Linked DNA regions of Saccharomyces cerevisiae S288C. Changing the gene in region 1 together with any one later gene gives a genetic interaction. Each region holds a gene or a part of one and is shown in the gene's direction. Other genes may lie near its edges.

Region 1 (7,898 bases):
AATAATCACGTACCATACTTAAAGGGTACCAAATCAACGCCCACTCTTATCACTAAATCAACGCCAACATTTATTACAAGATCAAAAAGTAATACAAAACCAATCATCAAATCCAATGCATCGTCTCCGACCTCTTCTCTGACTGTTCCAAATTCAGTAATTCAAAAACCCAAAACGGCTGCAATGGCTGCTAAGAGAGTTCTGAACAGCAAAAAGGTTGCGAGTAACCCCGCATTAAACACTACGAAGAAGAGTCACCCCATTTTGAAATCCAAAACGGCGAAAGTCCCAAATTCCAGTTCGAAGAAAACGAGTAGCCATCCTTCCAGACCTGTAAGTAACTCAAAACCATACTCGCATGGTGCATCCCAGAATAAGAAGCCATCGAAAAATCAAACCACGTCTATGAGTAAAACGAATCGAAAAATACCAGCACAAAAAAAAATCGGTTCTCCAAAAATAGAAGATGTTGGAACAGAAGATGCCACTGAACATGCCACTTCCCTAAATGAGCAAAGAGAAGAGCCTGAAATAGACAAGAAAGTCCTGAGGGAGATTTTAGAAGATGAAATTATTGATAGTTTACAAGGTGTAGATAGGCAAGCTGCAAAGCAAATTTTTGCCGAAATCGTAGTGCACGGAGATGAAGTTCATTGGGATGATATTGCTGGTTTAGAAAGTGCAAAATATTCTTTGAAGGAAGCAGTTGTCTATCCGTTTTTGAGACCAGACTTATTCAGGGGGTTACGTGAACCAGTCAGGGGGATGCTCTTATTTGGACCACCAGGTACAGGTAAAACAATGCTAGCGAGAGCTGTAGCTACAGAGTCGCACTCCACCTTTTTCTCTATTAGTGCTTCCAGTTTGACATCTAAATACTTGGGTGAAAGTGAAAAATTAGTGAGGGCACTATTTGCAATTGCCAAAAAATTGTCACCTTCTATAATATTTGTTGATGAAATTGACTCTATCATGGGTAGTAGGAATAACGAAAATGAAAATGAGTCAAGCCGAAGGATAAAGAATGAATTTCTTGTTCAGTGGTCATCCTTGTCCAGCGCAGCGGCTGGTTCAAACAAAAGTAACACTAACAATTCTGACACCAATGGCGACGAAGATGATACAAGGGTACTGGTACTTGCCGCGACAAACTTACCATGGTCTATTGATGAGGCTGCAAGGAGAAGATTTGTGAGAAGACAATATATCCCATTACCAGAGGACCAGACCAGACACGTTCAATTTAAGAAGCTTCTTTCCCATCAAAAGCACACGTTAACCGAATCAGATTTTGATGAACTGGTAAAGATTACTGAGGGCTATTCAGGAAGTGATATAACGTCTTTAGCGAAGGATGCTGCCATGGGCCCACTACGAGATCTGGGTGATAAGTTATTAGAAACAGAGAGGGAGATGATAAGACCCATAGGCCTTGTGGATTTTAAGAACAGTTTAGTGTATATCAAGCCCTCTGTATCCCAGGACGGATTAGTGAAGTACGAAAAGTGGGCTTCACAATTCGGATCATCAGGTTCATGATGATGATAATAATAATAATAATATAATAATAATGGTAATAATAAATAATATTCTAGCCTAGCTGGACAAACTGTGTGCACATAAGCGGATCGATAAAATATGTTCTGCATAATGTCACCTTTTCTTTTTTTTTTTTTTTTTTTTCTTTTTTTTGACTACTTAGTTTGTTAAACAATTTAATATTAGCGTAAACTATTACTAATCTAATCCATGACTGGTCGTAGGTAGTCTTACCCAGACCCTTCTTCTCACCAAGCCATTTTTCGATTTCCACCTAGAGTTATTGAAATTCCAGCTATAACACCATCCTTGATCGTCAATATCGTACTTTTCCTTGTAATCCATCAGTACGAACCACTTTGTCATCTGTGAACTGCTACTGCCTGCAGTGCGTTCAGTACTCAGATCGATAGGATACAGTTCTATGAAGTTCGATATAGTATTTTTCGACAGGGCAATTAACGAGCCATTTTCAGTGTTTAGTCTTTGAAATTGTGGTGGGTCAACGTGAGGCAGTAAAATCTTGGGAGAAAATAGTGGGTAACCAAGTAAAGTTATGCCTCTCTCGTTTTCTATGAGTACGTCCTCCGGTAAAGCAGAGAAATCCTTCAAGAAATGGTTTTTGCCCATATATCTCTATGTATGATTGTATTTTAACGATGAAAGAAACCTTGTTACGATTGCAAAGTCTTCAATTTCCTGGAAAATAGTAGCCTTTTGGTCCCACGAGCCCAATTACGTAGACAAGATTCAATCGCTTTGTTTAAGCGGAGATAAACTTTCACAAAAAAGATAATGCACACAAGCCAGATTTTCATTAAACACTGTAGAAGGTGAAAATGTCGCGTGACAGTATATGTAAAGGCATATAATAAGGTTTCAAAAGCAGAAAGCGCAAAATATCAAGGTGCAAATTATTGCTTCCTTTGGTTCCATCAGCCTCTTTCTGTACGTAAAAAACAACATTTGCATGTACATGTTTTCTAAGTTAATCTGCGACCCAACCCGAATAGCTCTCTTTTACCCTTATTTTCAACCGTCAGCCCCTCTTATTGGTTGGAACGCCTCAATATCAGAGGTCAAAGTCAAGATATCTTGTTATCATCGGTGTTAGTGCCCAAATTGCCAATTGAACGCCTCTATCAAACTGAGGAACAAACCAGCGCTCGCAAAGGAAAACGCGTTTTCTTTTGGCTGCTTTTCTTTCGAAGTGCAGGAACGAGCAGTATTTGGTTGCCATTGTGCGGCACACCCAAGCACACAACGATGCGCTAGGCCAATTGATTCATTACCGTTGGTGTTTCAGGTATTCGTGCTCATCAACGTGACTATTCAGCAACTGAATTAAACTGCTCTTAATAACTTATGTGCACCGTAAGCCAGTCAGTGCTAATGAAGGAATCAATCAGGAGTCGTACAGTGCGTAGGCACACTTTTTTTCCGCAGCTGTTTACTAAGGGTTGTGTAACGTCTGGGTGTGGAGGGGCAATTACCGTAAAGATGCTCTCGAAATTACAATACTACGGTACTTTTCCCCACGGAAAGTTGTATCTCGGAGTTAAAAAGGGAGTGGCACGAGATTCATACAATGGCGTGCAGGCAAAATGATTACTACCGAAATCGAAGCAAGATGATGTTCAACCTTAGGACATCGAAGCTGTACCTCTGCATGAAGTAAGCAGAACAAGGCAAAGTTTAGTTTTTCAATGCTCGCTTCTGCTGGCACTGTTAGTTTGCAGCACATGAGTAGCAGTGGCGCGATTATATCCCCGTTGGGCCATCAAAGCGCAGCTTTTTGTGGTATCAGATAAAATAGTGGTACGCTAAGGCTCTGCGTGAGGAGTTAAGCAATATGCCAAGTATTACTTTGTAGACTTAATTTTAAAATGCTCTTAATTTTAATTTCTATTTTTCTATTTTCTATTTTCTATTTTCTATTTTACTTTTTTTCTTTTTCTGGCTTTTTTTAGTAGTGATATATAATTAGTTTTTCATCTGAAAGATATTTAGGGCACCATTTTCTTTTGTTCTTAGATGCAGATATTCTTTGGCGATTTACCCTGGTGGTACAGAAGATTATGTTACATAATTCATCAATTTTTTTTATGTTAGTTCATCTTCAAAATCTGCTTTAACTGGTTATTATTAAAATATAGTAAATCTAGATCTCTCAATCTGAGTGCTTACCGACTAAAAGCGCAGAAACTGTATTCTTATTATTTTTTTTTTTTCACGGCAGCTAATTGTACTGAGTTATATTAATAGTACTGGAATAACACCAGGTAACGACTAAGGAACCAAATAAAGTATGGACTATAAGCATAATTTTGCTACAAGTCCAGATTCTTTCCTAGATGGAAGGCAGAACCCACTCTTATATACAGATTTTCTATCTTCAAACAAGGAGCTTATATACAAACAACCATCGGGTCCTGGTCTTGTGGATTCTGCCTACAATTTTCATCACCAAAACAGTTTGCATGACCGTAGCGTGCAAGAAAACCTGGGTCCAATGTTTCAACCCTTTGGCGTCGACATCAGCCATCTTCCCATTACCAACCCTCCCATTTTTCAAAGTTCTTTACCAGCGTTTGATCAGCCCGTGTACAAAAGACGCATATCTATCTCCAATGGTCAGATTAGTCAATTAGGCGAAGACTTAGAAACGGTTGAAAATCTTTACAACTGTCAGCCTCCGATCCTATCGTCTAAGGCGCAACAGAATCCCAATCCTCAACAGGTGGCAAATCCAAGCGCAGCCATATACCCAAGCTTTAGCTCGAACGAATTGCAAAACGTGCCACAACCACACGAACAAGCTACAGTCATACCCGAAGCTGCACCTCAAACAGGTAGCAAGAATATCTACGCTGCAATGACCCCGTATGATAGCAATATAAAGCTTAACATACCCGCAGTAGCAGCCACTTGTGACATTCCTTCTGCCACGCCTTCTATCCCATCTGGCGATTCCACAATGAATCAGGCTTACATCAACATGCAACTCCGATTACAAGCTCAAATGCAAACTAAGGCATGGAAAAACGCTCAATTGAATGTGCATCCATGTACTCCAGCCTCTAATTCTTCCGTTTCCTCTTCTTCTTCCTGCCAAAACATTAATGATCATAATATCGAAAATCAATCCGTCCATTCTTCAATTTCCCATGGCGTTAATCACCACACTGTTAATAATTCCTGCCAAAATGCCGAGTTGAATATTTCAAGCAGCCTTCCATACGAATCGAAATGCCCTGATGTCAATTTAACACATGCCAACTCAAAACCACAATACAAGGATGCCACTTCTGCACTGAAAAACAATATTAATAGTGAGAAAGACGTACATACCGCGCCCTTCTCCTCTATGCACACTACAGCAACCTTCCAAATAAAGCAGGAAGCTAGACCCCAAAAAATAGAGAACAATACTGCAGGCTTGAAAGACGGTGCTAAAGCTTGGAAGCGTGCAAGGCTACTAGAACGAAACAGAATTGCCGCTTCCAAGTGTCGACAGAGAAAGAAAATGTCACAATTACAACTTCAAAGGGAATTTGACCAAATAAGCAAAGAAAACACAATGATGAAGAAAAAAATTGAAAATTACGAAAAATTGGTTCAAAAAATGAAGAAAATTTCGAGGTTGCACATGCAAGAATGCACAATTAATGGTGGTAATAATAGTTATCAAAGCCTTCAAAACAAGGATAGTGATGTTAACGGGTTTCTGAAAATGATTGAAGAAATGATACGCAGCTCCAGTCTATATGATGAATAAAAGTATTGCGCATACTTCTTATGGGAGATCCAAATTCCCAGTACATTAGTTTGACTCTCCTTCCTTAATGTTTTCCTCTGTACGATTATTTATGTTTAAACGATTTATTTTACTATGTATGTATTTCCTTTCATTTTCTTTCGGAGTCATATATATTGCTGGGCGGCTAAATGTTTCCGACTTGTAAAAGAAAACATAACAAACATCTTGTAGTTGTGAAACAGTTTCATTAAATAATCTTTTAGAAGAGTAAGGACATGAGTAGAGGCAAACTGGAAGATATGGAACAAAAGGAAACATCGGAAGTTGACTGGATAATCGTACGTGAAATTGTCACATCCTTAACCTATTTTCTCTTTACTAACTTTTAGTAAGAGGTGTAATCTCCTCGAATATTATCTATGACAGTGTTTTGCTTTAATTCAATCCAGGAATCCTACGTTGTGGAAGAGGGCACTTTCAAGAAAGAAAGGAGATGTCGAAGATGTAGGTGCTCTCAAGAGTGAAAAAAATTTAAAAATAAATCCTCGGGAAAACTCAAAACATATATACAAATGGGTTGCGCCTTTCGAAAATGGATTTTTGAATAATAAATCACTGTTTGCTCATCTGGAACCTATATACAATTTCCTTTGCCAGAATAAGTACAAAAGCTTCGAAGATGCAGTTGGTTTAAAGGAGCTGCAATCATTTAGCAAAGATGTATCAACTGCTGATATAAACAACTGGTTTTTACCGAGATATAAAATTCTGCTAAAAATCCTGAGCTTAAAAACAAAAGAAATTGACTTTAGAGGGTTATCGCAAGTGTTTCAAACACTCCAAATCTTGTTAGTTTCTCATTATTCGCATCGCATAGATTCTGATTCTTCTTTTAAGAGGACACTGATAGACGTTCATGTTTTCAATTTCATCGCCAAGTTTCTGTTTAATAGAATTTTATTGAAGAAGAACCAAAACGATCCAAAATGGCTTCAAAACTTTTACGACCAGGGAGATGGCAAACATTTATGTGATAAAGTTGACTACAAGCGCTTGTGTTCGTTGCATTTTACCCTTATTTACTCTATTATTAACATTCAACTCATCAAAATCAAGACAAACCAAACATTTGAACCGCAGATATTAAAATACGTATCTGTTCTGAAATTAATTGAACACATACTTATCATCATCGAAAGTCTGATACATGTACTTATTAGATTTGTATCGAAGCATAAACTAATATGCATCAACCGGAAAAAGGCGTACTGTCGAGTATACCTCGAAAGAGAATTGAGTTTGAAGAAAACCTACTTAAAGAACTTTTACAGTGTAATAAGCGGTGTCCCAGAAAAAGAGTTAGGGGGTCTATTGAAAATACTCAAGATAGTTATTCTATCATTGCTCGAGACATTTGAAAGCATTGAATGGCAGCACTTAAAACCTTTCCTGGAAAAATTTCCGGCTCATGAAATATCGCTTCAGAAGAAAAGGAAATATATACAGGCGGCCTTATTAATTACTGCCGAAAGAAATTTGATAGCGCGCTTTCGATTGTCAAGATGGTTCAATGAGACAGAAAACATTTAATTTTTCTTTTGCAGTAGGAGGCGCATTATAAAACACAAAAATATCGAAAGCTCTTTCATTTCGGGGACAACAACTTCAGTTGAAAATTACAGTGAACACAACATCTTCCCCAACAGACCTACATTAAAACGCTTCTTCCGGACTTGCCCATGATTAACCTAATCTTATACGAACTGAATTAAACTTTACGGTATTACCGATAGGAAACTTCTATTTTATGATTTTTTCGTTCGGGGACGGAACGAACAGGAAACAAAAAAAAAGGTACGATCCATTGTATTCTCTACCCCCGTATATAAAACTAAGCTGAACAAGCCTGTTGTTTTGCTTTACTATTGCTACTATTTTTGACGTAAACGCATTGACTAATTTCAGGTTTTTATATTCTTGACACTAGCTAGACCATAGTATCGAAGGATTCAAATACACTAAAGTATCAGATAATGTTCAGCCTACAAGACGTAATAACTACAACCAAGACCACCTTGGCAGCAATGCCAAAAGGTTACTTACCAAAATGGTTACTTTTCATTTCCATTGTATCAGTCTTCAATTCTATCCAGACTTACGTTTCTGGTTTAGAATTGACACGTAAAGTCTACGAAAGAAAACCCACTGAAACAACCCATTTGAGTGCAAGAACTTTCGGTACTTGGACCTTTATTTCCTGTGTTATCAGATTCTATGGGGCTATGTACTTGAATGAACCACACATTTTCGAATTGGTCTTCATGTCTTATATGGTTGCCCTATTCCACTTCGGCTCTGAATTATTGATCTTTAGAACTTGTAAGTTGGGAAAGGGATTCATGGGTCCATTGGTTGTCTCAACCACCTCTTTGGTTTGGATGTACAAACAAAGAGAATACTACACTGGTGTTGCTTGGTAATTCTGATGTAAGGGCAAGCATATCCTGTAAAAAAAATTATATAGAGATGATTTATTTATATAATGCCTATAGCAACCTTTATCCAAACCTTCCGTACATTATTTAACAGCAATTGTTTA
Region 2 (7,003 bases), on another chromosome or scaffold:
AAACCCTAGTTCTTGCATTTCACGTATACATCTTCAAACCGTGCGAAGCAAAGGCGCAGAACAATGTCAAACGAGGATGAAACAACTCGTTTAATGTCTTCAGATGAGATGGACTATTTATTGGAAACGGCTGGGATCAACGCCTTGGAAGAAATCATTAGTCAAAATGACAGTACTGGAATAAATTTGGATACTAATGAAACAGCTCAGGACAGTAGCTATGACTCTATCCGGCGCTCCCCCAGTATTTTGAGTGTTGCCAAAAGCGTTGAGGGAGAGCATGGACGTAGAAAACTATTATGCCTTTACGGCCTTGTTATGATTATCTGTATTGCGGAGTCTATTTCTATGACTGCTACAATACCGTTGGTGATGGACAAGGTAGCGGAAGGAATTTCAGATGAGAATGGACATTATGATTCCGTGGCTGTACAGACAATAGTTTCCAGCATTTCTTCATCCACTATGATGATAGCAGGGGCAATCAGTATTTTCATGGCTGGTAAGTGGGGAGAATTATCCGATAGAATAGGAAGAGTGCGTGTTTTCAAATACATGAGCGGCATCAGGGTCATAGGGCTTCTTACGCACGTCTTTACCCTATCATCGAAAATGAAGTATCACAAATGGGCTATTGTTCTTACTGCGTGTATCGTACCATCATTCGGTGGCTTGTTTGCGCTAGTGGCGAATGGAAATAGTTACGTTTCAGATATAGTGAAAACTGAGCACAGAATGGTGACAATAGGAATAATGATGAGTTGTATATATGCCACTATGGGCGTAGGCCCAATGTTTGGGTCCTTTCTGGTGAAGTGGACTCATGGAAACGGGTTCATTCCTATTTACACATCAATAGCGTTTGTTATACTGGCGCTTATAATATGTGAGACAATCATGGTGGAACCGCGCCATGAAACCCAAATGGCCCATTCACAATCAACTTATACAAAGAGGAGAGAGAAACTAAGATCACAATCGGGTTCTGACGATGCAAGAAATTACCAATCCGTTACTTATGGAAAATTTCAAATAATGAGGTTAATGGACCTGCTCGCTCCAGTAAAAAAGTTATGGCTGAAGCCCGACAGTGCAGGGTCTTTAGTACCCCGGCATACCGTAATATTACTCATTGTACTCGATATACTATTTGTCTGTGGAACGACATCGTGTATGCCAGCATTGATTTTGTTTTCTACATATGAGTACAAATGGCATGCAGTAGAGCTAGGTTATTTCATATCGATACTGGGTATCGGAAGAGGTGTTGTGTTACTGGTCGTATCACCTACATTACTGTACACGCTAAAGAGGATTTATCAACACTTGAACCATTCGATAGACAAGATAGACATCTTTTGCATACAGTTTTCTATGATTGTTATAACACTGAGTCTCTTTGTCATGATACGATTTGGCGAGAAAACTCCCACATCCATGATAATATTCGCTCTTTTACAGGCATTGAGCGCGTTTTGTTCACCAACTTTGCAGTCTGGTATCATAAAGTACACCTCTAAGAAACATACAGGCGAGATGTTCGGAGCAATGGCTTTGGTAAGGTCCTGTGTTATGCTTGTCATCCCTCCCATCCTCCTTAAGCTATATGGAAGTACTGTCTCCGTTAATCCTAGTCTGTTTATGTATATACCGTTCTCAACAAGTATTGTTGCCATCTTGTTGACATTCTTCCTAAGAATTTACAAGAACCCTCCGCTGGACGGGCCTTAAAAACATTTACATACCGTATACACCACATATTTTTAGTTACTTGTTCGAAGCTGTGCTGCTATTCGTTCTTGCAAAGCCAGTGTCCTAACGACTTTGCTTATGACATGATTCAACATAGTGTTGTTGTGGTTTTTTCTACGTAATCATGATGATCTTTTTTTTCGCGCTATTAGGGGGGAGGGAAGGCGGGATCTGGTAAAAGTTTGACATAATAATCAAGGGGGATATCGTATCCCTTTACTTGAAAACTTGAAAAATATTCATCTACTATCTCTGGCCAGAAAAACGTGAGAATTTTTAGGTGCGAAACATCATAGAAGCTGCGATTGTATCCATCTAAGAGTTTTAATTTGATAAAGCTAAGGAATCTGACCCTATACTTTTTTTTTTGTTTGGCTTGCTTGCATTTTCAATCGGCTTCAAAGGTAGCACAGAAAGTAGTGTTCTCTTAGCTTAAGCAGTGCATGAATTATAGCTGATTGTGTGAAAGAATCTTTTTTTTGGGTATGTCGACTGAAGAACAAAATGGAGGTGGTCAAAAGTCTCTAGATGATAGACAAGGTGAGGAATCACAAAAAGGTGAGACTAGTGAAAGGGAAACAACAGCCACAGAGAGCGGTAACGAAAGTAAGTCTGTAGAAAAAGAGGGTGGAGAAACCCAAGAAAAACCGAAGCAGCCACATGTCACTTATTACAATGAGGAGCAGTATAAACAGTTTATTGCCCAAGCGAGAGTTACAAGTGGGAAGTATAGTTTACAAGACTTTCAGATATTAAGGACACTGGGTACGGGTTCTTTTGGTAGGGTCCATTTGATTAGATCAAGACATAATGGCAGATACTACGCCATGAAAGTTTTGAAAAAGGAAATCGTGGTAAGATTGAAACAGGTGGAGCATACCAACGACGAGCGATTGATGCTTTCTATCGTAACACATCCGTTTATTATTAGAATGTGGGGGACTTTCCAAGATGCTCAGCAAATTTTCATGATTATGGATTATATTGAAGGTGGAGAATTGTTTTCTTTGTTAAGGAAATCCCAAAGATTTCCCAACCCAGTTGCTAAATTTTACGCAGCGGAAGTTTGTTTAGCTTTGGAGTACTTGCATAGCAAGGACATTATTTATAGGGATTTGAAACCGGAAAATATCTTGCTTGATAAAAACGGGCATATAAAGATAACAGATTTCGGGTTTGCCAAATACGTTCCTGACGTCACATATACATTATGCGGTACTCCCGACTACATAGCACCCGAGGTCGTTAGTACTAAACCATATAATAAATCTATCGATTGGTGGAGTTTCGGTATTCTGATTTACGAAATGCTAGCAGGATACACGCCATTTTACGACTCTAACACGATGAAAACCTATGAGAAAATCTTGAATGCCGAATTGAGATTTCCACCATTTTTCAACGAAGATGTAAAGGACCTGTTGAGTAGATTGATCACAAGAGACTTAAGTCAAAGACTAGGTAATTTACAAAATGGTACAGAAGATGTCAAAAACCACCCCTGGTTCAAAGAAGTTGTCTGGGAAAAATTATTATCTAGAAACATAGAAACGCCGTATGAACCGCCCATTCAACAGGGACAAGGTGACACCTCACAGTTCGATAAGTACCCGGAAGAAGACATCAACTACGGTGTTCAAGGTGAAGACCCATATGCTGATCTTTTCCGGGACTTCTAATGACTAATGTTTTGTTGTATTTTCCTCTCGTATCTATATTTTTTTTTTTTCATATTTTTTTCCCTCTTTTCTACATAACAACTATCCTTCGAAAACGAAATTTCAACCCCTGTATAGTTACTACGGAGATGGAACGGCGTTCACTGTTCTTGTAGATTGCATACATGATGTTATCGAGGCGTATTCCTACCATTAAAAGGGCTTTTATTCTACGCTTCTGTCTTTGATTTTCTACTTTGCTCGCCGCGCCACTTTCGAAAGCTTGCATCATGAAATGAAGGATTTTGCATATCGATTTTTTTTTTACGTGAGCCCCTTGGTATAAACCAAATAAAGGGCAATTGGTGGCTCCAAACAAGTCGGAATCTCCATTCTATACGTGTATATTTTAGGAAGCATTATAGTCTACGAAAAGATCCATTCTTTCCATCCATTTACTTTTAGAATACAAAGGAGATAGAGAAACTTGCTAAATAAAAAAAAAATTTTGAAAAAATAAAAACAATGGGAGATGAGAAGCTTTCACGCCACACATCTTTGAAGAGGGCCAGATCGCTCTCCGAATCCATTAAGGGTCTATTTAAGCCTTCAGGGATATCAGGCAGTAATAATGCTGCGGCTCCTTCATCTCGTCCCGGTCAGGACCAAGCACATTCTCATCAAACAGCAAGAATAATAACTAGCAACGTATCTTCCCCGTCTATATCCCCCGTACATAGCCCTGTTCTACAAGCGGCTCCTAAGCATCACAAACTGGGCGTCCCTAATATTGCAAAACTCTCGTTGTCACCTAGTAGGGAACCATCTTTGAATTCAGAAAATGAAATGTTTTCACAAGAATCTTTCATAAGTGAAAAAGATGAAGATGAAGCCAATTTGTTAGAGAGAGAGGATCTTCAAAATAAAAAGGAAGAGAAAGCTCGTGCAAAACATGTACGTTCCAAGGAAGCTTATGTGCCTCATCACCGCTATACAGTTGGTAGCGATGAGGTTGAAAGACAACCAAGGGAACGGCTGAAAAACTTCCCACAAAACGCAGGTTCTTCAAACCCTGCAAATAGTAATGCCAACCATGTTTTGGATCAGGAAAATAACTTTTCTATTGATGCTATGCTTGATTATGACGAAGAATCAAAACTTAGAAGGAGAAACAGTCTGGGCGTACGTAATCATAGCAATCGCACAAGAAGTAGGAAGAACAGTTTGTCCACACCAAGGTCACCACCAATGAAAAATGGAAATGGTGGAATGAATTCAAATGCCACCAACAATGTTGGTAATGGTACAGGAAATAGAATATACATGAGGGGAAGAAATCACTCAGACTCTATCAGTGCTTCCAGCTTACCGAAATTTCAAGAAATCGAATGTAAATGTATTTTGGATTTAGGTCATTTCAAAGTCTTTGAAAACGGATACCACGAACATTCTTTGAGAGTGCTGCCAATTATTACAAACAATAAAAATGTGGATAGTGGCGATGAAAAGGATGCTGACGCTTCTGTAAACAGCGGCGATGATGGTGACAATGACAGTGAGGCAAATATGCATAAACAAAAATCTGTGTTTTCTTTAAGTGGATTATTCAAATCTCATAAGGATGGAAACCAACAACAGCAGCAACAGCAGCAACAAGAAGAAAACGGCGAACAAATCAATCTAGAAAAAGCATTTTCAATAATACCATCCCAGAGATTCATCAAATCGCAGACTTTAAAGAAATCGAGAACGAGTAACCTTAAAAATGGCAATAATGATGAATTGATGAAAAACGATGGTAAAAATATTCCGCAAATCGTGAATCCTAACGCTGCTGTAGGTGTTGAAGAGTTGAAGCTAATCAATGCATTATCGGAAAAAATACGAAAGGGCCTTAAAAGTGAAAATACAAAAGGCAACAATGGCGAAGGCAGAAGCAATAGCAATAAACAGGAGGATTCTGATGACACAGAGGGCAAGGCAGGAACAACCAATGACGATACATCTCATAAACCTTGTTCACAAAAATACGGAAAATCTATTGGGGTCGTCGGTGCAGGTGCATACGGGGTGGTCAAAATTTGCGCAAGGTGCAAGACTGCTAAAGATGTCCTACCATACAGTACCTACTCTAATGGAAAAAAACTATTCTTTGCCGTCAAAGAGCTGAAGCCCAAGCCAGGTGACCAAATTGATAAATTTTGCACGAGATTAACCTCTGAGTTCATTATTGGACACTCACTGAGCCATCCGCATTTTGAGGCAAATGCGATGATAGCAGGAAATGTTTCAAGAACCACTCCACCAAAACATGTCTTCAATGCCCCAAACATTTTGAAAATTTTGGACCTAATGGAATATAGCAATTCCTTCGTAGAAGTGATGGAATTTTGTGCTTCAGGTGATTTATATTCGTTGCTAACAAGGAATAACATCTCAAATGAATCGAATAACGGGAGTTCAAGATTGATCCAAACTGTTAAAGAAGGTTCTGGGAGTCCGTTGCACCCATTAGAAGCAGACTGTTTTATGAAACAGCTTTTGAATGGTGTTCAATACATGCATGATCATGGTATAGCACACTGTGATTTGAAACCCGAAAATATCCTTTTCCAACCTAATGGGTTGTTAAAAATTTGTGATTTTGGTACTAGTTCAGTTTTTCAGACTGCCTGGGAGAAACACGTCCACTTCCAGAGTGGAGCCATGGGTTCAGAGCCATATGTGGCACCTGAAGAATTTATAAGGGATGCAGAATACGATCCGCGTCTGGTAGATTGTTGGAGTTGTGGTATTGTTTACTGTACAATGGTCATGGGACAGTATCTTTGGAAAATCGCCATTCCTGAAAAGGATTCTCTTTTTAAATCATTTCTCAGTGAAATTAAAGATGATGGACAGTTTTATCTATTTGAGGAATTAAGACATGTTAGTAGCGAACTGAATAGGTTGAGGAAAATTGCACTATATAGAACGTTCCAGGTCGACCCCACGAAGAGAATCACCATTGAACAATTACTACAAAGCTCCTGGATGAGGAAAACAAAATGCTGTGTAGTTTATAGACACTTACATACCAAGGTTAGTAAATAAAGATATACAAAACAAAAAATGCTTAAGTATTTATTATTACTGATACTGTAAGTAAATAAATAGACTGACTGAATAAATATATGGGGGTTATTTGCTCTTGTTTTATAAACAGAATATATATGTAAGTTTTTAGAAGATCAAAAGATCGATGTAATGTAGAGGCATGGAAACAATATTAAACATTAACTCTTTCCAGCTCTTCTCTACCAGCTTTGCTGTACAGAAATTCATTATACTCGTTACCGTTCTTCCACCAGTACCAATAAATTCCCGCAGGTATTAATACATATAGAAATTGAGACTTAAATCTTCTAAAACTATTGAATACAGCGTTATGGAAAATACCTTGTAATGGCTTTTGAGCATATGGAGACACAGCATATGAGGTTATACCTTTTTGCTTTGGACCACCCATGTGACCCCACCATCCCATGTAAGTTTTACCGCTTGGAGGACCCATTATCGTAGAAGTTTTTGTGTAGTGTTTTGTTGATTATTTG

What was found. A genetic interaction does not mean that the proteins touch.
Region 2: mutations in ACA1 (region 1) and HAL5 together harm fitness more than expected from each alone (negative genetic interaction), as found in Saccharomyces cerevisiae (3 studies listed by BioGRID).

What each region holds. Positions count from the first base shown.
Region 1 is NC_001137.3:237,451-245,348, reverse strand, and holds ACA1 (Aca1p), read left to right. Parts: upstream 1-3,847; coding exon 3,848-5,317; downstream 5,318-7,898. Other genes in the region: putative AAA family ATPase SAP1, read left to right, coding at 1-1,539; SPO73 (Spo73p), read right to left, coding at 1,738-2,169; MEI4 (Mei4p), read left to right, coding at 5,575-5,637, 5,726-6,889; ERG28 (Erg28p), read left to right, coding at 7,333-7,779. UniProt on the Saccharomyces cerevisiae protein: Transcriptional activator of promoters containing ATF/CREB sites. Can independently stimulate transcription through ATF/CREB sites. Important for a variety of biological functions including growth on non-optimal carbon sources.
Region 2 is NC_001142.9:106,394-113,396, reverse strand, and holds HAL5 (protein kinase HAL5), read left to right. Parts: upstream 1-3,935; coding exon 3,936-6,503; downstream 6,504-7,003. Other genes in the region: YJL163C (uncharacterized protein), read left to right, coding at 64-1,731; cAMP-dependent protein kinase catalytic subunit TPK1, read left to right, coding at 2,238-3,431; QCR8 (ubiquinol--cytochrome-c reductase subunit 8), read right to left, coding at 6,679-6,963.